Drosophila melanogaster: one gene and its partners. The protein of the gene in region 1 purifies or fractionates together with the protein of each later gene. This does not show direct contact. Each region holds a gene or a part of one and is shown on either strand. Other genes may lie near its edges. The genes, in order: dgt6, cmet, tacc and dgt3.

Region 1 (7,607 bases):
TTGTTACAGAGCTAGGTTCATTGATCATTAAAAGGTTAAACAGTCTTATTCATAAACATAGGAAGAAATATTATTTAATTGTGGTTCAATCCAAAAGGGATCGTTGGCCGCCTGTCGTTGATATAATCAAACCGCACTTTGTCGCCGACAATTTCATTTACTCATCGTACTTTCCCCAACCAAACTAACAAATAAACTAGAACAAAAAGAGCCGCTGGTGGTTGGCTTCACCGCCAACACGACCACCCACTACAGATTCGGTTTTCCATTTTTAAAACAATGACGCATGCACGGAAATAAATTACATGATATACGCCTGACAATCTCATTACCTAGAGACGACGACCCATCGATAGTGGCTCTATGTATATACATACATAAAACACTCGGTTCTTCTTGGACTCTTTCAGTAGAGAGCGATGACGGAAAGCGTGGAGCTGATGAACAAGTACGGCGAGCCACTGCGCTACGACCGGAACTTCACGGGACCGAGGCAGAGGGATCGCAGCTGCACGGATGTGCCCTGCCTGCTGTTATTCGTCCTCTTCCTGGGCGGATGGGCCTTCATAGCCCAATACGCCATCAGGAACGGCGATCTCAACAAACTGCTGGTGCCCACGGACTCCTTTAACCGAAAGTGTGGCATGGACTCCGGAGTGCTGAACAAGAAAAACCTATTCTTTTTCGACTTGAATCAGTGCATCGATCCACTTGTACCCATCACTGGATGTGACACTCCACAGGTGAGATACCATTAACATCAAATTTGCAAGGAGTTGATCTTACTTTTAATGAAATACGTATTTCAACAGGTTTGTGTGGAGACTTGTCCCCGAGAGACGTTCGTCTGGGACACTATGAAGGACAAACAAAGTTTTGCGGAGCTGCATAGTCGCCTCATCTGCTTGTCGGAGGAGCACAAGGCGCAGATTCGCACCAAATCGGACATTCAGGATGCCATTAACCAGAACCAGTGCGCACGCTGGTACATCAAGAGTGCTCCATTCCTCAAACGATGCCTCTTCGAGTTCTCGCAGGGCGTGTGTGATTATATTCCCTCGTTTCTGCTAAATGGGGGAAGGTCGAGGCGGGAGCTGCATATGTTGCCCGGAAACGCCACCACAGAAGTTCAAATGCAGGCCGATGTCATGTACCAGAAAATGACGGATGCCCAGGCTCTCGTTGTTCCACAGGCGAATGGCAAACAGACTCCAGTGGACGAGGAACCGATCATCCAGTGCAAGCGCAGACTCAACGAGGCTGTCATCAAGGAGAAGATGATGCAGACCGATACGAGGCTGGCCAAGCTCGTTGGTAACATGGTGGCCCACTTCTACAATGGCACAAACGACGCCCAGCTTTTGGGAGAAAAGATTGTCGAGGATCTTGTCAACTCCTGGTCGATCGTTTTGGTGGCTTGCTTCTGCACCCTGGTAGCCTCACTGATCTACATCGCTCTAATGCGCTGGCTCTCGGCTCCGATTCTCTGGTTCTCCATCTTCGGCGTGCTTATCGGCTTGCTGGTGGGTATTTACTTCTCCGTAAAGCAGTACATCCACTGGGAGAATACGCCTACGGTTCCCGTACACGGCTTGAATCTACACTCCACGGTCAAGAATGTCCTGCAAAACCAGAACACCTGGCTCTACCTGTCCATCTTCGTAGGCGTGTGCTTCGTGGTTATCCTGTTGCTGGTAATTGTGCTAAGAAAGCGCATCCGGATAGCGATCGCCCTAACCAAGGAGGGCAGCAAGGCGGTGAGCAGCGTGATCAGCACCGTGTTCTTTCCCATCTTCTCCTGGATACTCTTCATTGCCGCCATAGCGTTTGCCATTGGCGTGGGCCTGTATCTGGGCTCAATTGGCGATCCTTCGTTTAGAATGGTGCGACAGCTGACGAAAAGTGGCGAAGTGACCACCGAGGACTGCGTCTGCGAAGGTCCAGCCATCAACTACACAGTGGGCGGATCCTGCAAGCCAGAAGTGTTCCAGCAATATTGTAGCGTTCGGCTGACCTCATTTTTCCAGAACCGAAACCCTTGCTTGAACACCACCTGCAGCTTTGACTCGATTAACAATCCAATCGAGATTAAGTGGGCCATCTTCTACAACGTCTTTGGCTTCCTCTGGCTGAGCTTCTTCATCTCCGCCTTCAGCTACATGGTGCTGGCCTCGACCTTCGCCCGATGGTACTGGACCTTCAAAAAGAGGGATGTGCCCTACTTCACCCTTACAAGGGCATTCTTTCAAACTGCTGTCTACCATCTGGGCACCGTGGCCTTTGGTTCGCTCATCCTGGCCATCGTCCGGCTGATCCGTCTGGTGCTGGAGTACATCCACGAGAAGCTGAAGAAGTACGACAATGCGGTGACACGAGCCATCCTCTGCTGCATGCGCTGCTTCTTCTGGTTGCTGGAGACCTTCCTGAAGTTCCTCAATCGGAATGCCTACATCATGTGCGCCATTCATGGCAAGAACTTCTGCTCCAGTGCCGCGGACTCGTTTAATCTGATTATGAGGAACTTCCTGCGTGTGGTGACGCTGGATCAGGTCACGGACTTTTTGTTCTTTTTGTCGAAACTGCTGCTAACCGCAGGGGCGGGGGCGTCCACCTACTACTTCCTGGACAATAATCCGAGCATTATTCGGCTAAATTACATAGCAGTGCCCACCACGGTGGTGGTAATTGCCGCCTTTCTCATAACGAGCGTGTTTTTCGGTGTGTACTCGACGGCAGTGGACACACTGTTTCTGTGCTTCCTGGAGGACTGCGAGCGCAACGACGGCTCACCGGAGAAGCCGTTCTTCATGTCCAAGCAGCTAATGAAGATTCTTGGCAAGAAGAACAATCTGCCGCCGCGTCAGCGCCGCGGAAAGTAGGAGACAGCAGTGCAAATTATAACTTTATTGAAGTAAAACATATATATATATATTTATTATAGCCCAAAACGAAACGATCGGGGTTGTGAGCGATTGCTCAACCGGCTGCAATTGGGTTTGCATTAAATGCACGCTCCTTTGCCAATACTCTTAATCTTTAATCTAGTGTATATAATACGCCAGTATCCGTATCCATATGTAAAGTTTTTTGTGCGGCTAGACATGTGATAGGCGCGGACCATAAAGACCAAAAGTAATACCATACAATAACATGTATACAGAGACACAAAAGTACATATCTCACATTCATGAAGTTTAAGTTAACGATAATTATTATAATTTTCGAATTTAATAAAAATGAATTCATTGAAGACACACTTTTCAGTTTTGTTCTTATTTTATTTCTCCATCATTATATTCACTCATTTTTTTTTATTTTTATACAATTTGTTTCATACTTTTGCCGTTCATTCATCTAGAACGCTCAACCCACTCATTTCAGAAAGTCTGATTTTGCAAGGATGTAACAGATCGCTGAAGCCGCAATGAAGAACAATAGCTATAAGATATGACTTTTAAAAGTATATATATAATAAACCTTAATACTGCCTCAAAGGTTGTTTATTTCAATAATAATCTTAAGTCCTGAAACTCGAATTTCGAAAAGCCTGGTATACTTATAGATGTATTTAAAAGAAGAAAATTGCTTTCAAGCTGAAAGATTTTAGTTTTAATTTCATATGGGTAATATTAAAAACTAAAGTAAAAAGTATATTTCGTTTAAAAACCTCATAACCAATTAGAAAAAGAATACAAAATCTATTACCTAAACAATATTGGCCATTCGCGATTCCCGTGGACTAAAAGATAATATCCTTGAGCACGCTATCGCTGATGTTCTGCAGGTCATCCTCACCACCAATCTGATCAAAATCGAATTTATGCGAGACATTGAATGCATTCTTATCGTTTTCAATGTTGAAATCGGGATCAAGCTGCAGTGAGTCCTGTAAAAAAAAGGAACTTGAGATTCGTATATTTCGTAGGCACGTATTATTGTTGATCCCACTTACATTGATTGTTCTGTCGTTGAGCTGAAGACGTGGCGCGACATCTTGCTGGTGGCTCTCGGTATGTGGAACCAGTGCATCTAGGCGTCCAGATGGCGAGGTGCTAAGATTAAGCACATTCCGTGATACCTCCAGGACCTTTATAACCGCAGCGCTCTTGGCGATCAGTGAAGTGTTGTTTTCCGAAGTGCGCGGAATGCGCTCAATTCGGGTGCACTCGCTACCACTCAAGGGTGTAAAGGGATCGCTGGGATCCGTTGGTGAGGTCTGAGGTGAGATCACTGCTGCTCCTGGCACCGGCGCCTCATCGAAACCGAATGACGCTTGCATTTGCTTCCACTTGCTGCCCAGGGAGGAGAGATTCGCCTGCGGAGCTGCCTTGACCTTGGAGGTGTTTTTGTGAATGGTGCGCAGCATTTGCATGGGATCGTTGATCTTGGATCGGTTTAAAGTGCCATTAAGGTCAATGCCGGTCGATTGATCAAGGGCTTTCAGCTTGCGTGCTGATCGAGGCGGCGCAGGTGCTGAAAAGGAAAACTCATAAGGATGAGGGTCACTAAGCGAACGGTTTAGTTCACTCCTTACCGAGTAAGCTGTTGCTTAAGGCATCAAACTGTTTGCCATTGAAGTCATCTTGCAGTGCAAGACGCACTGGGGCATTGCGACCGCCACCGCCGCCCATGTCGATTCTGATGGGAGGCGTGGAAACAAATTTGGAGCTGATAACCGATTCGAAGCGAGGCGTGGCCGGCTGAAGCGTCTGTACCCTGGCGGAGCCACTTGCATTGGCACTTCCCTTGTCCTTTTTGGACGGTTCGTTTAGTTTCTTGAGTAAATTGTTCAATTGGACTTCGGACTGTGAAAGTTCCACTCGAAGAGCCTGCAAATCGGTGGTGACAAACGCATTCGATTCGTTGTAGTGGTCATTAGCATCCAGTTGCTCGGCAATTGTGCCGCTGATCCGATTAAAGCCGTTTAAGAGCGCATCCATTTTTGATGCGCCCAAAGGATCGTAGAAATCTGCGAAGGAATTGAAAAACCATTTAAATTTAAAGACCTGCAAGGATGCAACCAAAGATGTCTCACCTCCTTCTGTGACTGCATCACAGTCGAACAGCACTCGCATGCCCCGAAGTGCCTTCTCCACCGCCTCCTTGCTCTGGTTGTTCTCGGCTTGCTTCACCTGGAAAAGATCGATGGCCTCCTTGAGACCGCACAGAGATGCCTCCAGGTCGAATTTCCTTTCGGTGGGTTGGGTAATGACCCGCTCCACGCCGAGTGCAGCGGTGGCCTCGAACTCATCCAGAAAGCCATCGTCCGCCAGTTGCTCCTCGGGCACTCCCATGTCTGCAGACAGATCGGCCATCAGGCGTCTGATCTTCTGGGTCTTGTCCCGCAACAGGGCCGTATTCTCCTCCAGATTGACCACATACGAAGAAGCGTACTCCTTCATCACGGCATTTTGGCGGGCCATGACCTTGGCGCTCACGTTTGGTGTTCCCGCCTCTAAGCCAAGTGACTTCTCGCGCTGCTTGATGAGCTCCTGGATCACGAAGCCCACGAACTCGAGCAGGAAGTTGATGAACCTCATGCCTCCGGGCATCACCACCAGATACGACTTGATGTTGGCCCAATGCAGCTGGTGCTTCTCGTTCAGATGCTTCAGATACTCCACCGTGCTGGAGCGAAAGTTCGCCTCCGACTTCTTGTCGGTGATGGGCCAGAAGAAGCGGCGTTTGAACTCCGCGGGATCCAGCAGACGGAAGAGGTAGTGCATCACATGCACGAAGGCCACCTGGTTGGGCTTGAGGAACATGTCCCAGGCAATCAGCTTACGCAGCTCGTCCGGCAGGGGGTGCACCAGGGCCAGTCCCTGCAGCTTCCTGTGGAGCTTCTCGCTCTGCTCCTTCTCTTCGGCCTTCCACGGTGCAATTATGGTCCGATCCATATTTTAGCACAGAAATTAAGTAAAATATGGCGGTTTAGTTTGAAGTTCTTTGTTTTTGTTGCTGCCCAGTGTTACCAAGTGGTTGAATTCAACTGAATGAAGACGTTCCCACTGCCTGTTTATATTGACGAAAAATGTTATATAAAAGGGATAAATCTATTTATTTTCCCTAGGAATAGTAACTGCGAATAGCATTTGTGTTTTTTAAATGTTTTTTATAATATTTCCCAGATATTTGTTTTTAAGTACAAATTTATTTCCCTAGTTACTCGATTGGTATAAATCCAATGACCTGCCACGGTCACACTAGATTCATAGTTCGGAAATTTGTCGGTTGCTGGAGTTTGTGGACGAATTTATATTTAATTTTTAAGCACTTGGTAATTAACTAATCGACGTTCATTTCGAAGTGACCCCCTGACAAACTAAATAGTTTTCGGATAAAGCTCGAGCCCAGTCACTGGCTGACCCCCAACGAGCCGAAAACCTTGGCATCCGGGTCCAACGTAGCACTTTCTTTTTGTCCGCGGCGGAGAAAAATCAATATACGCATGGGGTATAGAAATCGAATCTCGGCGCATATATAGTATAGATTACAGACAAATAATCTGGGGGACAAGCGAACGTCCGCCCACCGAAACGATAACCAAATCAGCATGAAAATATGTATGCGACACGGCCGCAAAACTTAGGAAGAAACCCAGTTTGGCCATGAATCATGCAATTGAATGGGCCCATTGTGTACTATATATGTACATATGCATTCTGATTTAGTGTCTGTTCTCCATTCGCAGATATCGGGAATCCGGCTGCCACAATGGGTTCCCTATTCCGCAGCGAGGAAATGGCGCTGTGCCAGCTGTTCCTGCAGAGCGAGGCGGCCTACGCCTGCGTCTCCGAGTTGGGAGAACTGGGATTGGTCCAGTTCCGAGATGTGAGTAGGATGGGTTACATAAAGCTGCGGTCGAGGCAGCCGCACTGACTAACCATAAACCACAATCATACCCCTTACCTCATTAGCGAATTCGGTATTCCATGAAACGTCCCCTTTAACGCGAATGCAAAGTAAATGCAAAGCTGGTGACACCAGCTACTAAGTGTATAGTATAACTACGTGTGTTACCTCATTTAAATAAAATTGAAAAATATAGTGGCATAAGTGCTATATCTTGATCGCACAAATGAAGTATCTTTGAGATCCCCCAATAACAAACCAATCTTTTGAAATCCGCAGCTCAATCCCGATGTCAACGCTTTCCAGAGGAAGTTCGTCAACGAGGTGCGCCGCTGCGATGAGATGGAGCGCAAGCTGCGTTACCTGGAGAAGGAGATCAAGAAGGACGGCATCCCCATGTTGGACACCGGGGAGAGTCCCGAGGCCCCGCAGCCCCGCGAGATGATCGACCTGGAGGTATACGCCGCCATACTCCCTGTTTTCTGCTAAACACTGTTGAACTTATATGGCTTTCTTGTCTGCTGCTCAGGCCACCTTTGAGAAGCTGGAGAACGAGCTGAGGGAGGTGAATCAGAACGCCGAGGCCCTGAAGCGCAACTTTCTGGAGCTGACCGAGCTGAAGCATATTTTGCGCAAAACCCAAGTGTTCTTCGATGAGGTAAGCTGCGGCATGAGTAACTCCATATGGGTATCAGCTAACAAACTGCGATCGGTTACCGATTTACCATTAACAAATGCCGGCCATTGAAGCGGCC
Region 2 (8,086 bases), on another chromosome or scaffold:
GCGGCAAATACAATGAGCATTGCGGAATTCCAGCGATCAAATTATCAAGAAGTTGGCCAGTTAACTACCTTGTCGATCGGCTGACTGCCTTATCGCGCTTCCAGGGCCACAAAGCGATCGTAGCTGGGGCGTCACATCGCATCCAGCCGAGTCTATTCGCAAAACTGGCTCACAACAGGCGTCGCCTCGCCTCTTTCCGCTCCCGGATTCTCCCCCAGAAATCTTTCCTTCTCGACGGCTATTTGCGTTGGCGTTTGTTTTGTTTTCGATTTCTTCGCGATCGGACTCCCAGTTGAGACAGCTTGCCCTCTTCGCTGCGACTGCTGCGAGAAAGCAAGAAGAGCGAGCGAAGACCGCACGAGAAGACAGCCGAGTAGAAGAGCACGCCGCACTCGTCTCCACCTCGTTTTTAGTTCAGGTGTCAGGTGAGTGCGCGCAAGAGGTGAGTTGGTATGTTCAAAATGCGCAAAATTGCTTACTTAAAGTACTTTTCAAAACGATATAGTCGCGTAGAATACTATGTAGTTTCGTTTGTTTAACTCATTTGAATCTTTTTATAACTCTAGATCTAAAAGTAAAATAAATAATTCATAAATTTACTTACTTCGGCACCGACTCCTGATACTTTTTTGACATCATTACTGAAGGAATTCTGCTAGCTGTCTCTCTTCCCAACTGTTTCGCCCGGCCAGGCATAGTGTCCATATTATCCGTTTGTAACCTTTTCTCCTTTAGGGTTTTACAAATGCCTTTGGCTTTGGGAGCAATCCCCCGCCGCTGAAACAAGGGTTTCGGCAGGTTAGTCAGCTTCGAAGGACGCGGTAGACGGGACTCCTCTGGCTCAGGCAATGCGAGAACAGGAGCGTCGCCTTCTGAGCCTGAGGCGGTTAAAGTCCAAGTACGACGACGCTTCTGGAGGCGATAGTCGTCAAGCGAGGCGCTGGAAACGATCTTCAACATGTCGCGCTTGATGCGACCTTCCAATTCCTGCAATACCAGCTGGCTCTCATTCTTGATCTTCTTCTTAGCAAGCTTATCCTTCAACATACTGATCCCGCGATCAAGTTGCCTCATCATCGTGGTTTCAGAGTCTATCTTGCAGACCTGCGGCTTGCAACGAATTTTTTTGGCACACGTGCCGAAGCTTATAGTGGATGACGACTCCTCCACGAACGATGGCGTAATTGTACAGATGATAGAGGTCAAAACATTTCCACCCAGCGAAGGCAGCATGATGCGCGGAAGTTTCGAATCGCGAAAGCTATTCGGCTTGCTATCTACACTCTCGGAGAGGCTCTTAACCAAGTTGCGAAAAATCATAAGGCTGGATGCGTGGTCCGCGGGGTCCACCTGTTCGGATCCAGCCAGATCCACCAGGCTCAGTACGCTCTGCTTTACGGTGTCGTTATCACTGTGGTCCGACTTTCGGGACTCAATGATCTGTAGAAATAATCTTGCATATTATATGATTAATACAAGAATCTAGCACTCACTATCCTGAAGATGGCGTGCGAACGACTGGACCGCTCGTTCATGTTGGTCTCGCCCACGACGCGCTCCTTGTTGCCCATGTAGAGCTGGCGCAGGAGGTCGTCCTCGCTGGTTACGATGGACTCCTTGCAGTTCACATTCACAATCCCATTGCCGGACTCATGGATCTTGAGGTCCTGATTCTTCTTGTTCAGCAGATCGTAGATCTTCTCGTTGTAGATCTCGATGTAGCCCACGCGCAGCAGAAAGTCCCGCTCCGTCTCACTGGAGATCTGTTGAAAGATCTCCTTGGCGGCTAGCACCATGACGCCCGGATTCTGTTCGTCGCCCATCATGGTGTACGTCTTGCCTGAAATGCATGCCCGGTTTTAGGTATACCGCCGCGTATATATAGCACAGTACCCACCCGACGACGTCTGGCCGTAGGCAAAAATAGTTCCGTTGGAGCCCTGCATGCAGGCGTGCACTATGTGCTTGGCCATCCGGTCGAACACCTCCTGGTTGCTGGCGCCCTCGTCGAACACATAGTCTGCCAAACGGAATGGAATGTAAATGAGATAAAGGTCTTGTAGATCAGGATACGCTCAACGCTCTAACCACTCACCGAAGACATAGGGCTCCGCATGGCTGTCCGCCAACTGGATGGAGCGGCCCTCCTTCACCTGCCAGAGTGAAGTGAGCCCGGGCTCGCAGGGACGCACCTTGATGCAGACCTGGATGGAGCTGGCGTTCTTCGTAGACATCTTTGCGACTTGTGGGAAACGTGTTTGACATGCACAATGAACAGACACAAACAGATTTTAACGTTTTATAAAAGCTAGTTTGATCGACATGTTAGTTTCTCTTTGTAAATTCGAACAAATACCGCTTCGGAAGCGAACCAGATCGAAATACGGAACCAGTAAATAGGCGCGAGCCAGTTCAATTTAAAAGTTTGAGGAGCTTTCGGCGAATATGAAAATATAATCCAATAGGCTTCGAACATAAAACTTTTTCCGAGCTTTTTCGTGATATATAATATAGATTATTATTATCTATATTTCCAAAATAGTAAAGACCGCTAAATTAAATGCTTACTTACAGACAGACAAAAGCTGAGGGGATTGTTTAATGCATACAGAAGAATACTGTCTGATATAAACATGAGATTTCATTGGAATAATAATCCCAGTTGTTCACTATTAAAAAAAATAGGAAAATTGAAAATTTGGAAAATATTATAGTGGTTATATTAGGGAGCTTAGTTATAATTTATTTCAAATATTTGTTTTGGAATCAAATACTTTCCACATTATATGTGTGCTATGAATAGAAGTTATGAATTAGTAGAAAAAATACGAACTTATATGAAATTTAAACCGTAGTTTTCGCATGTATTTAAGAGCTTGTTCTATTTTCTGTTTGACCTTAAAGTATTGAGTCATAGAACTTTGTTAGTTAGCATGCCCTACCAATAAGAACACAACGTCTTAGAATATATATATGCCGTAGCGACCCTTGATCAGGAATGTTAATGCAGCCCTGTGGGATAAGAACATAATGTGTTTCTGTTTTTATTTTTGCAGCCCTATTTGGAACTATGATAACAATCGATGAACCGATTTATCTATCGAGTCGTTAGCGCCACTCGAAGATATCGAAGCATATACATCCCTGATTTTGCAAAGCGGCATTTGTTCGAATTTAACGAGCAACAAAGATGTCGATCAATGTTTGTTTACTGTAAAACATTGAATTTTATGTTTGTTTATGAACTGCGTTCTGTTTATCATAAAGCATTGAGACCAAGAAGGCGCCAAGATGTCTGCGAAGAACGCCAGCTCCATCCAGGTCTGCATCAAGGTGCGTCCCTGCGAGCCCGGGCTCACTTCACTCTGGCAGGTGAAGGAGCGCCGCTCCATCCACTTGGCGGACAGCCATGCGGAGCCCTATGTCTTCGGTGAGTGGTTAGAGCGTTGAGCGTATCCTGATCCACAAGACCTTTATCTCATTTACATTCCATTCCGTTTGGCAGACTATGTGTTCGACGAGGGCGCCAGCAACCAGGAGGTGTTCGACCGGATGGCCAAGCACATAGTGCACGCCTGCATGCAGGGCTTCAACGGAACTATTTTTGCCTACGGCCAGACGTCGTCGGGTGGGTACTGTGCTATATATACGCGGCGGTATACCTAAAACCGGGCATGCATTTCAGGCAAGACGTACACCATGATGGGCGACGAACAGAATCCGGGCGTCATGGTGCTAGCCGCCAAGGAGATCTTTCAACAGATCTCCAGTGAGACGGAGCGGGACTTTCTGCTGCGCGTGGGCTACATCGAGATCTACAACGAGAAGATCTACGATCTGCTGAACAAGAAGAATCAGGACCTCAAGATCCATGAGTCCGGAAATGGGATTGTGAATGTGAACTGCGAGGAGTGCATCATAACCAGCGAGGTTGACCTCCTGCGCCTGCTATGCTTGGGCAATAAGGAGCGCACCGTGGGCGAGACGAACATGAACGAGCGGTCCAGCCGTTCGCATGCCATATTTAAGATAGTAAGTGCAGCCTGCTATTTTCTTTCCGATAATCTGCAACATGTATCCCACAGATCATCGAGTCCCGAAAGTCGGACCACAGCGATGACGACGCAGTGATTCAAAGCGTGTTGAACCTGGTGGATCTGGCTGGGTCAGAGCGGGCGGACCAAACGGGTGCTCGAGGAGCGCGCCTCAAAGAGGGCGGTCATATAAACAAGAGCTTACTTTTTCTCAGTAACGTTATCAAAAGTCTGTCGGAAAACGCGGACAATAGATTTACCAACTACCGCGATTCCAAGCTGACGCGCATTCTGCAGGCTTCTTTGGGCGGCAATGCATTCACATCCATCATTTGCACAATCAAACCATCGATCATGGAAGAGTCGCAGTCTACCCTTAGTTTCGCCACGCGAGCCAAGAAAATTCGCATTAAGCCCCAAGTCAACGAGATGGTATCTGACGCCACAATGATGAAGCGGCTGGAGCGAGAAATAAAGGTGCTTAAGGATAAGCTGGCCGAAGAAGAGCGCAAAAACGAGAACCAGCAAAAGGTAGAGCATCTGGAGAGACAAATAAAACACGACATGCACAAGATAATCTGTGGTCACTCCCTGAGCGACAAGGGTCAGCAGAAGCGTCGCCGTACTTGGTGTCCCACTGCATCGGGATCGCATTTGGAGCTAGCAGAGACCGGCACAACTGAAGATCGAATTGACCAATTTCCAAAGGTCTCACACCTTCCAAAACCAGTGTTTTTTCACACTTCAAATGCAGGCAAACGATGGGACAACATTCCAAAGACCATAAACATTTTGGGTTCCCTGGATATCGGTACCGAGAGCAACTCCATTAGTGAGGAATTTCTCCCGGCAGAATGCATTGATTTTGGCTCCCCTCGCCCAGATGTCCTCAAACCCATGTTGACCATCAGGCAACTGCCAGACCTGCCCCTCACTCCCAAGGGTCCCTTAACGTAAGTACTTCTGCAAGCTTTTTGATCATCCTCCATAACATTCATCACATAACAATCGCATCCACATACCCCGACCCGATCCCTGCACTTATTTGCCTGCACAGAACGGATAAAATCAAGAAGGAAATCCAGGACCTGCAAATGTTCACCAGCTTAGAGAAGCATTTTGAGGTGGAGTGCGAAGAGGTGCAGGGTTTAAAAGAAAAGCTGGCCGAGGTTACAGCACAGCGGGATAATTTAGAGCAAGAATCGTTAGCCGAAAAGGAGCGGTGAGTTAATGAGGTGTTTTCTGTCAAGGAATCTGTCGTCCAAAACATAGTGCCTGCATCGTAAAAAACGATGTAAACGTAACTCGACTTTTGTGCTTTAAGCAGTCAACCCAAAATCTAACATACCTATTCATACAAATCTGTAAAACTAGTGCAGCGATATTCTATTCCATTCTATAAAAACAAAACACTTAAGTATATGTTTCAGTTTTTAACAGTAAATTTTGTTTATAGAACACCACTCCACAATACCTGTTTGTTTGATTTATTTTATTATAGTTTTAGTGTTTAACAATAGTTTACTACTTGTGTATCTTCTTATAGTTATGATGCTCTGGAAAAGGAAGTAACCAGCCTAAGAGCGGATAATGAGGCTGCGAATTCAAAAATCAGCGAATTGGAAGAGAAACTGAGTACTCTAAAGCAGACTATGAGAATAATGGAAGTGGAAAATCAGGTGGCCGTGGGCCTCGAGTTTGAGTTTGAGGCTCACAAGAAATCATCGAAACTTCGCGTGGATGACTTACTCTCTGCCCTTTTAGAAAAGGAGTCGACTATAGAGAGTCTTCAAAAGTCCCTCGACAATTTAACCCGCGATGTCTTACGGAACAGCAAGGAGGGCCACATGCTTTCCATTGCCCCAGAGCAGGAAGACATCGCCGGCGACAGTATATGCAACAAGTGTGAGGAACTGGAGAAGCTGATTGCAGATTTAGAGTCCAAGAAAAATTCATGCGAGTGTGATCAGCTCCGGTTGGAAATCGTCTCTGTTCGCGACAAGTTAGAGAGCGTTGAATCTGCCTTTAACCTGGCAAGCTCGGAGATTATCCAAAAGGCGACTGATTGCGAGCGACTTTCGAAAGAGCTATCCACATCCCAGAATGCCTTTGGACAACTTCAGGAAAGGTACGACGCTCTGGACCAACAGTGGCAAGCTCAACAAGCGGGCATCACAACCCTACATGAAAAGCACGAGCACGTGCAGGAGAAATACCAGAAATTGCAGGAGGAGTATGAGCAGTTAGAAAGCAGGGCAAGAAGTGCCTCCAGCGCTGAGTTTCAACGGCTTCAAAATGACAACACGAAGTTTCAAGCCGATATCGCATCCCTCAATGAACGATTGGAGGAGGCCCAAAACATGCTTACGGAAGTCCAAAACTCTGAATCTACTGTGGAAAAGCTTCGAATACAAAATCACGAACTTACAGCGAAAATCAAAGAACTGGAGACGAACTTTGAAGAGATGCAGCGGGAATACGATTGCCTTTCCAATCAACTGATGGAGAGTGTCCAGGAGAACGATGCCCTGCGAGAGGAGATAAAGCAACGACCCACGAGTCACGTTGAGGAGTCTATGAGGAGTTCCGGTATAAGCTCCGATTTTGACGAACAGAAGCAGGATATAAACCTTCTACACCAGTTTGTTCAGCTTTCTGAGTCCGTCCAACAGATAGAGCTGCAGCATCATTCCGGCATCAGTCGCCTCTTTAGAGCCAACCAAATGAAACTGGATCAGAGCGAGCCAGGACTTAAGCTTTGCCTTGAGTCTGCTGAGTACATCGAGGAAGACAATCGTCAATCCGATGCAACTGAACCTATTTGTCTCAAAGGCTTTCTCAAGCGACACAGATTTCAGATAAAGCGACTTAGCCAGGAACATGTAGATATGGGAGAGGAGAAGCGATTGCTTGATATTATTTCGCAGCTGGAACAGGAAATCGAAGAGAAGAGTGCACTTATGGAGGCAACAGAGGCAACCATCAATGAAATGCGAGAGCAGATGACTAACCTAGAGTCGGCACTCCTCGAAAAGAGCGTTATAATTAACAAGGTTGAGGACTACCAGCGGCAGATCGAGTCCCTGGAAAAACAAAATGCGGAGATGACAATGGTATACGAGGAGCTGCAGGATAGAGTAACAAGGGAGAGCTCGATGAGCGAGAGTCTGCTCCGAGTTCCACCTGACGAGGATACCCTTCCAGGATGCCCTACATCTCCCAGTAGACGAGAACAGGAGGTGGCCACGCTAAAGACATCCATAACAGAATTGCAGTCACAAGTTTCTGATCTAAAAGCAGAACTTGAAAACCATTTAAGGCAGATCCAGTTGAAAGACGGGAACATAGCGAGACTACAGACGGATTTTGAGGAAATGAGTGAGCGCTGCTTATCGATGGAGGTGAGGCTAGCCGAGTTGGATGAGGACACTAAGCAAAAACAAGAACTACTGGATCGTCAGGCGCAGAAGCTCTCCGATGACCTATGCCTTATCGATCAGCTTCAAAAGAAAAACGCGCAGCTCGTTGAACAGTATCATAAAGCGACAGAATCTCTCAGTCTTGCGGATGCAAAGCCGGATCAGATACTACTTTCCTCCCAATATGATAGTCAGATCGAGAAACTTAATCAATTGCTAAATGCAGCCAAAGATGAGCTACACGATGTGCGAAGGATAAAAGATGATGAGATAAGTGCTTTGCGAATGGAGTTCCTGCTCCAAATTGAAACGAATGAGAAAGAGAACCAAGCCAAGTTCTACGCTGAATTGCAGGAGACTAAGGATCGCTATGAGAGCAATGTGGCCGAGTTAAAGGAGAAGCTATTGCAGGTAGAGGAGACACTCTCCAGCGTTACGGTTCGTTGTCAGGCGGAGTTGGAAGCGCTTAAATCTGCTCATAAAGAAAATATTTCTCAGGCTGTGGAGGAAAGAAACAATTTGATTGTCCAGCACCAGGCAGAAATGGAGACTATCAGGGAAACTCTTAAGAATAAGCTAGCTGAGGCTAGCACCCAACAATCAAAAATGGAAGATGCCTTTAGAGCGGAAATA
Region 3 (7,911 bases), about 24 Mb from region 1:
GAAATTGCACCAAAGTGCTCCAAGAAAACATCGTCCTTCTCATCGCTGGCACTTAGCGTGGCTTGCTCTTTAGCAGAGAGAGTTTGCTCCTCCAACACAACGGTGCCATTTCCCAATGGGGACACTGGAGAAATCGCCTCAGGAGGTCTATTTAAACGTTGGTGAGTAGGAATTGGTGGTGAATTTGAAATTGGTGCTTGGCGTTCCTTCCAAGTTTGCTGATGCGACTTCATCACGGCTACTTCATCTGCCCTCATGGAGATATCCACATCCATAACTTCATCAGCCCCGGTGTCTTCGGTAGCCTCCACCGCTGGAGAAGCATTCTGCTGCATGCAGAAGGTGCGTCGAGGGTTCTCATTTTCCATACAGAAAGTCCGACGCGATTTGGCCTCCTCCTCTTCCTTCGTGGGCTGAACCACCGAGAAAGTGCGCCGCTGCTTATCATCAACCGATCCCAGACTTACGGCAAGGGTGGAAGAAGGCTCAATATTCTCTGTACCCTTCTGTGATTTGTCCTCCGTAATGCTTCCGCTGTCAAAGGTCATATTTGACGAAGTGGGAGAAATCTCGCTCATTGGCAAGGTTTCGTTGAGGTGCTGCTTCTCAGGACTCGGTTGTGTTAACTCAAAGACTATTGGTGATTTCGCTATGACTCCGAAATCGCTTTGCTTGCGATGTGATGAACGTTCTACCACAGCCTCTTCCAAATAGGGCATGTCCTTTTGCTCGAGCTGAGCACGCGGTGAGCGTGGAAAGTGGGACTGTTTTTCAGCAGGTTCTTTGATGGGGAAACTGGGCGAAGTCGGTTCTGGAAGGCTTGCAGTGGTTGTATTCCCTTTCAGATCCAAGTAAAGTGGCGTTGGTAAGACTGCCACAATGGGTACCAGGCCGTGTGATAGCTGCTTACATTCCACCTTCCCCGCCGTCGAGACACCATCAGGCAAAGGCAGCTCCCTCAAAGCCAGGAACTCTAGTTCCTCCGCTGTTTTTGGGCGATGTGTAGGTATGGGCGGGGAAAGGGAAAGTTCGATAATTTTTGCTTGAAGTGCGGGTGTCGGCGGTGAGAGCGAAGCTGATGGGACAGATTCTACAGGCAGCTCTATTTCAGTCATCTTTAATGCACTTTCTTTTCCTGCAGTTTTTTGATCCATTTTATTATCTTGACAATCCGTATCATTTTGAACGCAGAGTTTTAAGAAAAATTTGCTTGAAACGGGAGAATGAGCATTAATTTGCTCCTGCCGACATGAGTTAAGCACTGTGGCATCATCCACTTTCATGGATTCATCCACATCCATTTGATCAAGCTCCTCCACAGTCCTGTCTTCAGTTGCCTCCATAGCTGGGGATGCATTTTGCTCAAGGCTGATGGCAGTGCATGGTCTCTCCATTGATTCTACTGCCACCGAAAATTGCTTCTCTTGATTAGGGTATTCTAGAGATTTTGCTGATTTTGTGGACAGTTCTGAAGAAGCCTCTTTGAGATTTAAGGCCTTTTCAGGCTCCTTAGGATTTTGTGCGTCCTTCACCTGAGCACTACTGACCGGGTGGTGCTTCTCTTTCTGAAATATATCTTTTGTATTTGTTTGCATTTCCTCTTGATGCTTAGCTAAGTCTTTCGTAGAGTCCAAGGCAGATAAGGTGAGCTTCGGCTCAAAGGATTGTGTACCAGACTCCTCAGACAGTACTGATTCTACCAATGATTCTGATTCCTTTGCATCACTATTGGGTTTAGAGTGTTTGGCTAACTGGTCTAGTTCAACCCTATTTTGCTCCTGATTTGGATGATAGTGCACAAAATTATTCTCTGGTTTTGACTGGGTTACGCTGAGAATATGCGTTTGCATAAGATGACGGTCTTCCGCATTCAAGACGTCCTTTAACATTTCCATGGTTTCGTTTAGGTCATCCACATCCATGGCTTCATAGCTGACGTTGTTGTGCTGGCTAACTGCCAAAGGATCGTTGAATTCAGCTCCCAGTGTAGAAACTGAGGTCATGGACAGCTGCTGCTCCAAAACATCATTAAGGGCACTTGAATATGCCTCTAACTCCGATCGATCTCCGGTGTAGCGCTCGCTATGAAGCGATAAACACTCGACAAAAACATCCGAATCCGAATGGTTGGATTTCAGTTGAGCTAAGGGAGGAATGAATGCGATATATTAATCAATTCGTTTTAATAATAATTAAATACATATAAGAAATTTATTTATATAATTAATACAACGAGAAATTTATACATAAACTTGGAAATGATTTATTTTCCCCAGCTGGCCCTTTCCTTTGTATAAATGACGGTATTGAAATAGAAGAAATTACTTCGCTCTTCTGGCGGATTTCGTATGGAATTCTTTTGTACATCAATATAATTTTTCTACCTTAAGAGATTTCTGGGTTACACAAACAAGATTTACTCACTATCCATATCGGTACTTAAAGGAGCTAGTTCCGGTATTTGCGTCTCATCGAACTCGGGAAGACCTCCAAACTTTGGAACGAGGTCGTCTTCTGGCTTAAGTCCACCGGGTACCGCCGTCTGATGCCCCAGAGCTGCCGCCATTGCCTTCTGTTGATCCATGCTCGTTGGCTTGGGACTGGGCTTCACCGCCAACGGACTCAGCTGCCAAACAAGAGATGCAAAATTTAAGAATATAGTTATCAAGATGTACATCGCGGTCATGATCCGAATAGTTTTAAACCGTGAACAACCGATGTTGGGAATGGGGTTTTAAAGATGATCACGAGTAGCAGCTGGTTGGTCATTTAATTAAGAATTTTTGACACACAAAAAGGCAAGAGCCCCACCACAGTTGGCATAAATAAATCGCATTTGGGATGACTTTTCCCGTATTTTCCCATTGCCAAGAAATTATACAAAGGCATAGGACCCCCATTTTTAGTTATTATCATATACAAAAGAATACATTATTATGAAATTATGATCTTCATTTGAAAAACTTCAATCTCATCTAATGTAGCCCATATGATACAGATGCCTTCAATTCACGCTTAAAAAAGACATACATTTCAAATGTTTGTCGCAGTCGGTCAGTCAACAAAAGCAAATGTCATTAATTAAAAAGCCAGCCAAGACGTAAAAATCGGGTATATGGCATATGTTTGGGAGGGTGGCAACGAAACGGATTGAGGAGCAAAAGGTGGGGAGATGGACGTGGAACTGGGTCGACGTCAGCTTTTGTGCAGTGCGAAATAAACATGCCGCGGATTCAATGCGGCCGGCCGCCATGTTTAATGTCTATTTAGGTTTGGGAGCATCGTTCTACACGCGGAATTTAATTAGAGCGCATTGCAGTATAATGGGTGCTGCAAGGTTAAAGTCAGAAGAATAAGGCGAGTGGTGACCGGCTTATGAGCGAGACACTAAAAATTAGGAAAATTCTGGCATTAGACCAATTTCTCCGTTTCGATTTTATTGATAAGTATTTTAATTTTAATTTTTTGACAATGGGCTCAAATTTGAGTGGTAATGGGAAGCAGATTCCTGCGGAATATTAGCCCAAGCTAATGGCTAGATACAACCCTATTTAAAATAATATTTTCTGCAACGCAATAAGGTGACAAAACCAAGTGGAACCGCATAAATACTATATATGCAATCGGCAAAACACATTGGGACATTACAAAAAAATTCCAATGTGTAGATTTATGCAGTTTGCCTAATACTAGAACACCCCCCCCCCCCCCCCCAGGGATGCACATAAAAAGATAGTCCTAATTCTTTCAGACATACCTCGCCACTCATGGCTTGCAAGTGCTCCATTTCGTTAGCACTCACTTGGTTCAGATTGAAGTTTATTTCGCTTAGAAATTTCTGTATTTCTTCTCTACTATCAGTGCTGTCCTCGGGGGCTGGGAGTGGGTTCGAGATGGATTCCATAAATAGTTCACAGTGCTTTCCCTCCAGTCGTTGCAGCTCCTCAGAGGCGGACTCTAGTAACGAGTCCAGGTGCGCGGATACAAGTGTAACTCCTCCCTTATCCCTTGGTGTAGAACATTCATCAGCGGGACTAGCAGCTTCTAGGGCTTCCATTGTCGTTGGCTGATTGGTGCTGATGCCAGTGGTGGCGATGCTTTTGGGTCTTTTGATGATATTCGCGAGGAAATCCATGCCGCTCTACGCACGATTAACTCCTGAGACGCGATACGGTTCACTTGGCTCCAAAAAATAATGGATCTATAGAGTTCCTTAGTTTGGTCTTTAGTGTTTTTTTTTTTTTTTTTTTTTTGTGGTTTTTGTTGTGACACAGATTTGGGCTCGCCTACTCGGTAAAATCTTTACTGTGATTTTCCGCTTCCATTATATTGGGTAATACCTCCGGGTTTCTCACGGCCCGTTGTCGCGTGCGGTTCTCACTGCCTCCCGATCATGTCTGCCTTTAAAATCAATTTAAAAATATTTTCGTTTTCAATTTGCTTTGCTCTGCTCAGCGTCACACATGCACAAATACTTAGAGCACGGCGAGAGTGCGGGGGATCGACAGACCGAGTGAGAGAACGAATAGTTTGAATGGCATCCACATAACGATCCGGATGTTTTCGTATGTCTTCATGTTTGGATCGTTTTAGCCCACATGGCGTTCTCCCCTTATCAGCACGGTCCTCTCTTCCATTTATAATACTGCCATATGTTTTCACATGTGAGACGGCGGCTAGAGACACCTTTGTATATTACACATTATGGATTTCATACCAACTTAAAACATTTATTTAGCACATCCTTAGTCTTGAAATAGTTCCGATAAGTTATACTCTGAACTTTTAAGCACAAATATTCCTAATGAAAATTAAATCAAAACAACAGAGAACTCAGTCGTTTTTCTCGACTACCCATTACTCAGCTTTTGGAGCTACGAGAAATATACCCTTCAAAGATTTTATTAGCATATAAATAATATAAGTCTTAGTGGCCAGATAGACTTGGCTGGTGATTCTGAAGATGAAATCTTATCCTTTCTATGGTTGGAATAGTTACCCTTTTCTATTTCGAGAAAATATATTGGGTTTTATGAAGCTAGAGGGCAACACACACTTGATCCATTTAAACACACTTCTCTTAGATATATGAAATACATTTTGGAAACGGTCGAGGTCGTGGGCAACATTTATAAAATAATAATGTCAAAAGAGCGGGCTCAAGTTGACAACCTTTTTGACTGAACTGCAGTGAAAAACTGAAAAACTATACAGGCCTCAGACGAAATTCAGACTGAAAGGCAGCAGTGAAAGTGCAAGACACCGCAAATAAGTCGAAACACTTAAAGAAGGGGATAAATAAATGGGATACGAGAATACGGCGACCGCCGACTGCTTATATTGTCTTCGCAAATCAACTGGAGGAACTTGGTGCAAATTCAACGCTTTGATGACAGAATTATTTTGCACATTTTCCATAGGATTTTTGGAGAACAGTCTTATTTGCAAAATGCTTTCTCTTAAAGATATACCAGTAGAGGCAAGTAGAGTGCTCTAAAATAATAAATATGTTGATTTGGCTCATCACATTGTTTCAAGTGTAGAGGCCTGGTGGGTCCCAGATGACATGCAATCCCACAGCCATTGTTGCGCATCATGGCGCACTATCTGCAAGCTCCACATTGCCCAACGGCTGACTTTGCATGTTTGGCGAGAAAATGTAAGCAATGAAACGGAATCCCACACGATGGGCCTTGACGAGGGGGGAATAGTTAGATGTTGGCTCTAGCGTTATCCAAGCAGCGCGCGACAGGTGACAAGATATCACACGGTTCCCGGCTCAGGGTGAATTTAAAACCAATGTAGTTTGTTGAAGCATATAAGCCTTGAGTGGAATCCAAATAGTGGCCACAAATGAGTATACTGATTTCAGAAAACACAATAAATACAATAGAATAGAATACAAGTGGAATTTGAACCTTAAGCTGCAATTCGAATATCCAATAGAACTCAGGAAAATAAAAGAAAACAAATATTGAGGAAGAGCCAACTATAAACTGATCTAAAAATAGGCAAATGTGGAAAGGGGTGGAAACCATCTGTAGATCCTTTATAATGAGCATTTTTGTTGGCAAAAGGGAAGATGGAGTTAAATGACATTTAGTCAAACTTAAATCCTCAGATGGGCGTTTTTTGGACTGTAAACCGCATTAGGCACTGACATTTTGCAGCCGTTAGCCGCCAACTGATTTATTGGCATAATAGCGATACACACTAGCATTTTTAAATGGAAAGTGCACCATCTGGAGAGTGGAAATTTCAAGAGACAAATATATAGAAGGAAGAATAAGTAACTTTTGATTTTCCCTTGGCATACCCGATTCCCTCGTCCGTCGTCCGCCTTTATGGTAATTTTCCCGGACAAGGCCCTCGGTTTCCGTGTCTTGCCCGGCTTATTGCCCATTCTCCTATGGCTATGGCAGATCGGGGAAACTGGTCACCTGGGATGGACAATGTCCGGCGGACACCGATCAACTAGAGAACTCTCGTTCGCGACAGCTGCCTCAGAGCTAATAGGAACAGCGAATAATGGAAATTTATATGTACATATGTATTTACGATGAACAATTGCGAATAAAGAAAATAGCAGAACAGCCTGCGACGCAGCATACCCACACATATGTACAAAGTACATAACCGAACACACACATATGTACCTGTAGACGTGTGAGTTGAATTATGCCTCTGCCGAAAGTGGCTGCATTGGTACATCGCGGACGGAGCACGCCTCCAAGTCCAGCTATTAACTTACCTTAATGCCGCCATCGTTTTTGTTGATCTCCCGCAGAACGCCGCGACCACCAAATCCCATTCCTAGGCCATTTTCTGCGTCGTCGAATTCCATGGCATATGTGTATCCCGGCAGGCAGCGCTCTTCTACAGGCCGATGACACAGTTAAGCTATACGTTTTCGGATAAAACTCTTATTTATCGCAATATGAAATTGGTGACGCGAATTTCCAACGTTGCTTTGGCGAAAATGCCGCTACAATTTGAAGAAGCATAAGTGACAGTGTGGCCAAATTGCCAGCAGGGAAAAAATACCAGAGGGCAAATGTTACCTAGCATGTTATTAATAACATTATTTAATTGCACTTACACAATATTTCGATCTATGAATGGTTAAATAAAATCCAAGTTTTTCTTTATTTTTTTTTTCAACGAATTTTCAAGTAAATGAAAGTCGGTCAAAATAAAGAATTGGAATTAAAAAGGGAACAGTAGCTTTGGTATTATTACCATAATCACTTTTGTCACCGAGAATATAATGTTTGCTACCTACTTATGTAGATATACACAGTATTATAATACTGCATTTTATATTTCTAGCACACGATACTTGAAGAGTACAAGTCAAAAGTTTAAAGTATAACACAGGTAGATCGCATATAAAAGTTTTCAAGTACATTATTGTGCCAAAAAAAATTTTACATTTGACACAGTTAATACGCTTTTTTAAACAAACATTTGACACGCTGCAGTAAAATATTGATATTGGATATGTTGTATTGAAGTAGTGACGACTGCTCAATTTTTTTATGTAGTGAAATGTAAAATCATCTTTTATCACAATAAAGTTAAGATGTGTTGTTGTTTGATATTATTTTTATAAAGAATAACTTATAGGAATATATTTCGGAAAGTGACCTTATATAACAACGATTTATATGCATCGTATTGTACATATTTTCGGAGTCTGCCGTATTATTAGCGCAGAAAGTCCAAATATTTAATATTAAAGTATAAAACTAGGCACTTCATTCTCTTAAATCCATAAACGAGAGCACTTCTACTCGACGATTATGTTTCTCTTTATTAGGGCTGGCAACACCGTCACCCTATTTTGTTGCCTTCTGAGAATTGTAATGCAACCGCGTAACTCAACGACTCAACCGTTCGGGATTCCGAAAA
Region 4 (7,427 bases), on another chromosome or scaffold:
GGCCATTCCCAGCAGGTAGACGCCATCGTAGAAGGCTCCAATAAAGAAGTTCACCTCCTCGCCCTCGCCAAACGTGTAGTTGTAATCGTAGAGCGCATTCTCCCTCACATTGTCGGCAAAGTCCTGGAACTTGGGACTTGTCGGCTGCAGGAGACTGACTCTCAGGAGGGCTTCGTATGCCTTCCGCGCCTTGGCATCGTGCTCATCCTTCATCTCCCAACCCTTGTCGCCCCAGTATTCGCTCTGAAAGATTTCCACGTCCAGGAACACCCACTCGCCATTGGTCATGCCCAGGCTGTGGGCTGCCAACATGAATTTTCGCACAAGAACGCCGCGAACCGACAGGATGACCACTGACGAGGAAAGTTTAAAACCTGCGTATATAATCGTATAATCTACCTAATCTTACCTCTGGCATACATGCTGGCGTCCTTTAGATAGTTTTCGTACACCTCCTCCTCGTTGCCGTTGAGCTCCTTGACGAAGCTCAAGAGTCCCTCCTGCCGCAGACCGTACTCCAGATTCTTGCCCACCGTCCACGAGAAGAGCTCCGATCTGTCCACCAGCAGGGCAACGTGATTCCAGTTGAACTGCCGAATGACGCTGGCAAAGACCAGGATGAGGCGGCACTGGCAGTAGGACATCCGGGTGAGCGTCGGGTACTTGGACTTGTCCTTGAACATGCCCTGCAAGGAGCAGCAGCCGAACAAACCGGAAAACCAGGCCAGAGATTAAATGTTATTTAATTTAAACTACAATCCATGAACTTCCCCGCGCAAAACTTACCGTATTCTCATTCTTCCACTTGTGTATCCTTCCCAGGATTCCGGAAGTGACCGTCAGCTCACCTTCCGAGGAAGGCGGCTAGCAGCAGGTGGGCGAAATAGGGGGAGATTGCCATTTGTCAATAATACGGGCAAACTTAAATGCAAATTAAAGAGCGGGCCAAAAGGCATTTAATTGCCAATGTCAAGAGTACGACCAGCACAATTAAGCTGGCTAAATGTGATTACTTCTGGATGTGGCACAAGGGTATGTGGATTAGTCTGAAGCTCAGGCTGGAGGCCACATTATTAAAAGCGGCGTGCTGCGTGTCCTGACACGCGACTTGGATATTCTGGCCCTGAATCCGCTGCTCTCACCTGATCTCCCATGCCGGTGATGATGGGCTTGTTCCAATAGGCGGCCAAACGTGCCACCGGCTCAAGGGCAAAGGCGCAGGCTGGTCCAATAAACGCGATTACGTCGTCCTGGAAGTACATGTCCGCAGCCAGTCCAGGAGCCCGAGCACCCGAACAGGATGGATAGCTAACATAAATAAGAACTTGATAGGTGGTGGTACGAGTAGAACTCACAGAATTAGATGTACCAACCTTCCCTTCTTTTTCAGTAGTGTTATGTTGTGAGGCTTCAGGAAAACCTTGTTAATCTCATCCAAGGCCAAGTCAACGGCCGGTCCACAACGCTCCAGATCGAATGGAGAATCTAGTCCAATTGATGAGCCATTAAATCTGAAGCCAACTATCAGAGCACTCACCCAAATGAGAAGCCATCAGAACGCCAACGTTATAGACACGCATTGTGGAGCCCATTTCGCCCACCTCAGTGTATCTAGAAAGCTGCGTAGACTTGGATTCCCTGCTCCTCTCGTACATTCTTTGCTCTAGGCCCGCATCACTGGCATTGAGCCCCGCCAAGGAAGTAGTGGAGTCCAAACTAATATCCTTGTTCAGATCATCCCAGGTTATATCATTGCGCCTGGGATTCGGATGGGCACTAAAGCAGTTGACGTACATCAGGAAGAAGAAGTGGATGCTGATCCCAAGCAGATGCATTTCGTGGAGTCTAACTATTAAACACAAAATATCCAATAAGTCTGGACCTAAGTGGCTAACTTAGCTGTAACTAGATACAAGAACAAATATTTGTTCTTTTGAAGAATTTGTCTAAATTAGGTAATTATTAGCAAAATATTGCATTTGCTCCTTAAAATTACATTACACATTCAACACCTTAACTTTTTAAATTACTAAATTTAAAACAGAATTGCGACATTAATTCTCTTATAGCCCATGCAGTATGAATATTAAATCCCATTCACTGACTTAATATCCTTTTGAACCCAAAAATCTGTCCAGATCTTCAAATTCGCCGAGCAGCACTTGAGTTTTAAGGGTCACATATAAATTTGAAATTAATTCAAATAGCACTAAGGGGTAATGAGTTGCGAGTAATTATCCATTTAAAGCTTTAAAATGTTCCACTTCTTTGCTGTACTCCTTTAAATTTAAAGTCCTTAAAGCAGTCCAAATATTTAATGTTTTGTAGAAGCACTTTTTAAGGTTTATTTGACTAAAAAAACACACTTTGCACAAACACTTCACTTTATCCAATTGTATTACCGGAAGTCACGAGGGGAAAGATGGCCCGAAGCACGATAATCGAGTGAACCAGTGGCCACAACTGTTGGTCCTTTTATATCCGCAAGGACCTCTGCTCGGCAAAACTCGTCCTGCAGCCCGAATGCCGGCAGCCAATGAGAGTCCTGCAAATCGGCGGGCAAATGACTTCGTCTGCACGGAAAGTGAATCTCTAGGTTAGGCGAACAAGGTTTTATGGCCTCACTTGTTGCTCCTTGGCCAAATCTGAATGGTAATCGCTTGGAAACGCCGTCGCGTGCCGCCAGCAATTAATGCGTCTCTTTGGTGGCACTCGTGTAGACTGCTTTAAGACGATGCTGCCTTAATACGCCCGGTGTTTAGTGAACCCAAATCTGATAGCCCAGGGAAAAGGCATTTCAAAGGGGGGAAAACAATTACCAAAGTCGTAAGCAAAAGTAAATCATGTTGCTGCCTAAGAATCTTTACATACACACATTATACAGCATCCCTAAATTTAGTGTATTGACTTATTATTAGACTAGCAACGCCGTAATGTTTATTTTTGAATAATTTAACATTTATTTACTGACCAGATTCTAAATCAACTAAGTTCACTTGCGGTGCAGACCACCACCTGGACGAATTACTGCAGCGGCTGCCTTTTTGACCTCATCAATTGCATGCATCATGCGCTGCGGCTCAGTGAGAAACCAAATCCACAGGACTACGCTATAGCGATACAGTTTATCCCGCTCCTAAAAGGATAAACAACATTAAAATGTTATATTCCATGATTTTATAGTTAATTAGTATACTTACAATGCGCCCCACGACATTTTCCAGGAAATCTTTTCGCAAGGAACGCCCTGACTCATCCAGGCGAGTTTGCTGCTGGGTGACATTGTATATGGCGCTCAAGTAGCGAACGTTCTCAAACATGGGCTGCTCCAATGGGGAATCATAGACAAACGGCCGCAAAGTCTGCTCCAAGCGCTTGCTAAAAAAAAATATTAATAGCTTAAACGATCTGTATCAAAGTTAAGTATTGCAACTTACAGTTCTGCCAGTTGATCCTGAACAGCAGCACACGACTTTCGGTTCAGCATGCTCTGAAAGGAGTAAGACAGCAGGCGACCGAACTTTTCGTATTCGAAGAGACAAGCCTTGGCCTCAGTTGCCTTTATGTTCTGTCCCAAGTGGGCTGACAACAAATTGGCAATCTCCTGCACAAACTGGGCACAAATGCCCTGATAACTGGCGTTAATGGAGCGCATGGTCTGGATTCTTTGCCAAGTGGCCTGCGCTTGGTCGCGCAACTCCTCCGAAGTGTCCAGGCAGTTGCGCTTCTTGTCGCAGTCCAGTTGGATCGCAATCCACAGCAATTCCGCATTGGACAGAGCATCTGAGATGATTTTAGTGAGCTTCTTGTCGCTTTCATGACGTCGAACAGCTCTTTCCAACTTCAGTTTAGTGTTCTCGTAGAGAACCAGCTCAATACGTCGCTGGGTGTGCTGCTGAATGTGAATGGTTAGATCGTTTAAAAGCGTATCGTGTGTATTGCTCAGTTGATAGTCGTTGAGCAGCTGCAGATCGTGCATTTCACGCGCCATGTCCGTTAAACTGAGGCAGTGAATCTTGCCAAGATCCAACTGGTCAATAAGACACTGCGTGGCCTTCACCTTGGCCTTTGTTCTTATGTAGGATAGTGCATAAAACTGGATGCTGTAAAAACGGTCATATCAATTAATGTGCATTGTTTTTAGCACAGAACCTTTGTGCTTACCCACGTTCCAAGTCCTCCAGCTTGGCCTTTTCGCGCCCAAGATCTTCCTCCGCGCTCTGGAACTCATCATAGTCCTGGATCTTAAAATTCTCCTTCACATACAGAGTAAAGTATTGCATAAATGAATCGCATTTGTGGAAATACTGCTCCAATGGCAGTTGATGCATGAATAGAGGCGGCAACTGTGGGGCGGTGAATGCCTTTTTGGCTTCGGCGCTTAGCCGGCAGTTCTCCTGCTGCAGTTCCTCCAGTTGCTTGGCTTTGGACTGGCACTCGGCTATCAGATCCTTCTCCCTCAGTTGCAACTCGGCGGTGACGCACTCCACCTCGCCTAGGTGCTTAGTTATCGAGTGCTTTGTGGTCCTGCAAAAGTGGATTGACCATCGATCGAACATATATGAGGAAGGTTACAGTTTTTCCCTTACATCATATCTTCCAGAAGCGTAGCATAATCCCTTGAGGCATCTTCGATCGCCTCAATGCTCATGGTCAAGGCGTCGACATCCTGCTGCTTGTAGTTGAGAAGCCCCGGACTTTCGGCCTCGATTTGCAGGAGCTTGAGCTCGCGATCCGAAGCACTTAGCCACTCGCCCCGCCGCTGCATCTCCTCCCGCTCCAGAACCTGTCGCTCTGTGAGGATATTTGCATCCGTGATGTTCCCGGACAGGAACTTGAAGAACATCTCCATCTGCTCATCGTACAGAATCCACTGGTTCGAGCTGTCCACTCCCAGCTTCTTGAAGAATTCCGAGTTCTGCAATCATGGCGATTATAAGCTGATCATTAATTAAATCATCACACATACGCTCAGCAGATCGCCCATCTTTTAAAAAAATGACAACACAAGCTGATTACTTATCGGTTATATCGAAAGGTTTCAGAGACGTTACTAGAGATGGTACCTTTTGAAAATTAACAGGAAATAGTGCTTAATAATTAAGCTTAATAAAAATCGTAGAAATTCCTGATTTCCTATCAACGATTTCATGAAATATTTACTCTTATCTATTTCTGTTAAATATATATATATATAATATATATAATATATATATATATATATATATATATATATAATATATATAATATATATATATATATATATATATATATAATAAATTTCTGTTTATTATATATATATATTTTATATATGAATTATTTTAAATTTTTGCTATGAAGTAAGGATACAATTTTTCTAAATTTGACACAAGTTCTTAAGTTTAATTCAAGTAAATATTATGTTTTAGTACACCTCAATCTTAAAGGGCTTATAAATTGATCTTTGTTAAAATGATTTTAATACCTTATATCGATATGTGGATAAACGTGCACACCACCCCTGGTAAATAGAAACACCCTAACGCCATCTAGTTTGCAGCCCTGGTACCGCTTTGGACGCACTTCGTGTGGCAGTCTGGCAACCCTACACTGAATGACAAGTAAATTCTGTTCGTTTTGCAAAATAAACTTGTAAATTGGTATATTCCTTAGCAATGGTAAGTACCGCGCCCAGAAGACCGGTATTGGTCTGAGAGCCACCATTGGGCCGATGACCATTGAAGGCTAGCAATCGTGGTAGTAATTGACTTGCGTGTATTTTCCCAGGCTCGCCGCTATGATTCCCGCACCACGATCTTCTCGCCGGAGGGCCGTTTGTACCAGGTGGAGTACGCCATGGAGGCCATCTCGCACGCCGGAACCTGCCTCGGAATCCTCGCCGAGGACGGCATCCTGTTGGCAGCCGAGTGCCGCAGCACAAACAAATTGCTGGACAGCGCCATTCCTTCGGAGAAGATCTATCGCCTGAACGAGTGAGTTGAAATTTCAGTAGTATATCCTACGATGAATTCAAGGGTCACAGGCCATATATTTAACTGGCCATGATCTTAATTACCCACTACATTCTCTACGAATCTATCTCTATCCAAGCCTCTTTGTTTTCCCTCAGCAACATGGTCTGCTCGGTGGCTGGCATCACCTCCGATGCCAATGTGCTGACCTCAGAACTGCGTCTGATTGCCCAGCGTTACCAGTTCAGCTACGGCGAGGTGATTCCCTGCGAGCAGCTGGTGTCGCACCTCTGCGACATCAAACAGGCGTACACTCAGTACGGCGGAAAGCGTCCCTTCGGCGTCTCGCTGCTCTACATGGGATGGGACAACAAGTACGGCTACCAACTGTACCAGTCGGATCCCAGCGGCAACTACGGCGGATGGAAGGCCACCTGTATTGGCAACAACTTCGGTGCCGCGATCTCCATGCTGAAGCAGGAGCTGGCCGATAAGGAGAACGTGAAGCTGACGCTGGCGGACGCCAAGGATTTGGCCATCAAGGTACTGAGCATGACCCTGGACACCACCAAGCTGACCCCGGAGAAGGTCGAGATGGCCACGCTGCAGCGTGTGGACAATAAGACCGTATACAGTGTCCTGGAGAAACCCGATGTGGAGAAGCTGATCGAGAAGTACACAAAGGTACAGGCGGAGGCCGAGGCTGCCAAGAAGGAGAAGCAAGCGAAGCAGCCGACCAAGTAATCCCAAGGATGCATTATTATTGATTAAGGGTCTATCCTGATTTTTGTAACCGATGTACGGAGTGTGTGAAATAAAATTTCAAAAAACAAAAACCCACTATCATTGTGCCAATAGGGATGGCCGATTAATCGATAACAGTGCCATTGCCATTCGCAGCGAAGAGCTGCTAAATATGGCCAGCGACGGGCAGTCACTAAAAAAATACCGTACAAAACATTTTGAGAAAAATTCCGTCGCTTTTTATTTGCTGTTGCTGTTATAAAAAATTCAATTATACTTGCTAAACTAACGGTTAATCGGTTTCTGCAAAGGGGCTTATGCGTAATTGGAGAGTGCGCGCAAAACGCGTGGTGAATACGGATTGGAAAACCATTTTTCATACGCAGCAAACAGGCAATGAGCGCGCGTGTGTGTGTGTGCCACAGAAAGTTGCAAGCAGCCTAGAGCTAAATAGGCGCACGGTTGTTAAATATTCACCGTGCTCTCTCGCTTTATGCAATAACAAAATCTGCAAATTCCCCCCATTAGGCGCAAAAATGTGAAAAAAGGGGGGCAAAAAAACCAATGGGAATTTCTCAATGTTGTGTCAATACAGTGAGAGCGACGTACGAAAAGTCAAAAGCAAAGGAGAGGAGAATGGAATAACACATAAAAAAAAGAGCTGAGCCACAGCAAAGAAGCAAGAAGAAACGCGAAGCAGGCTCTAAAAGAAAAATCGAAATAATAAAAAAA

What was found.
Region 2: the proteins of dgt6 (region 1) and cmet purify together in Drosophila melanogaster (affinity purification with western blotting; one study listed by BioGRID). This does not show direct contact.
Region 3: the proteins of dgt6 (region 1) and tacc purify together in Drosophila melanogaster (affinity purification with western blotting, with the first as the bait; one study listed by BioGRID). This does not show direct contact.
Region 4: the proteins of dgt6 (region 1) and dgt3 purify together in Drosophila melanogaster (affinity purification with western blotting; 2 studies listed by BioGRID, with this or other methods). This does not show direct contact.

What each region holds. Positions count from the first base shown.
Region 1 is NT_033777.3:29,124,995-29,132,601, forward strand, and holds dgt6 (dim gamma-tubulin 6), read right to left. Parts: upstream 5,979-7,607; 5' UTR 5,898-5,978; coding exon 5,036-5,897; intron 4,970-5,035; coding exon 4,535-4,969; intron 4,474-4,534; coding exon 3,953-4,473; intron 3,887-3,952; coding exon 3,740-3,886; 3' UTR 3,590-3,739; downstream 1-3,589. Other genes in the region: Ctl2 (choline transporter-like 2), read left to right, coding at 420-743, 813-2,879; Vha100-1 (vacuolar H[+] ATPase 100kD subunit 1), read left to right, coding at 6,715-6,831, 7,132-7,308, 7,382-7,510.
Region 2 is NT_033779.5:11,264,052-11,272,137, reverse strand, and holds the start of cmet (CENP-meta), read left to right. Parts: upstream 1-3,135; 5' UTR 3,136-3,291; coding exon 3,292-3,430; intron 3,431-3,505; coding exon 3,506-3,628; intron 3,629-3,685; coding exon 3,686-4,032; intron 4,033-4,085; coding exon 4,086-4,987; intron 4,988-5,091; coding exon 5,092-5,256; intron 5,257-5,580; coding exon 5,581-8,086. Other genes in the region: cana (CENP-ana), read right to left, coding at 605-1,440, 1,494-1,840, 1,898-2,020, 2,096-2,234.
Region 3 is NT_033777.3:4,742,040-4,749,950, forward strand, and holds the start of tacc (transforming acidic coiled-coil protein), read right to left. Parts: upstream 4,376-7,911; 5' UTR 4,136-4,375; coding exon 3,758-4,135; intron 2,627-3,757; coding exon 2,425-2,626; intron 2,144-2,424; coding exon 1-2,143.
Region 4 is NT_033778.4:20,989,337-20,996,763, forward strand, and holds dgt3 (dim gamma-tubulin 3), read right to left. Parts: upstream 5,046-7,427; 5' UTR 4,988-5,045; coding exon 4,970-4,987; intron 4,919-4,969; coding exon 4,590-4,918; intron 4,528-4,589; coding exon 4,165-4,527; intron 4,104-4,164; coding exon 3,438-4,103; intron 3,379-3,437; coding exon 3,201-3,378; intron 3,137-3,200; coding exon 2,993-3,136; 3' UTR 2,940-2,992; downstream 1-2,939. Other genes in the region: CG3216 (uncharacterized protein), read right to left, coding at 1-353, 410-686, 787-864, 1,143-1,308, 1,374-1,485, 1,538-1,835; Prosalpha3 (proteasome alpha3 subunit), read left to right, coding at 5,655-5,657, 5,767-5,972, 6,110-6,695. UniProt on the Drosophila melanogaster protein: As part of the augmin complex, plays a role in centrosome-independent generation of spindle microtubules. The complex is required for mitotic spindle assembly through its involvement in localizing gamma-tubulin to spindle microtubules.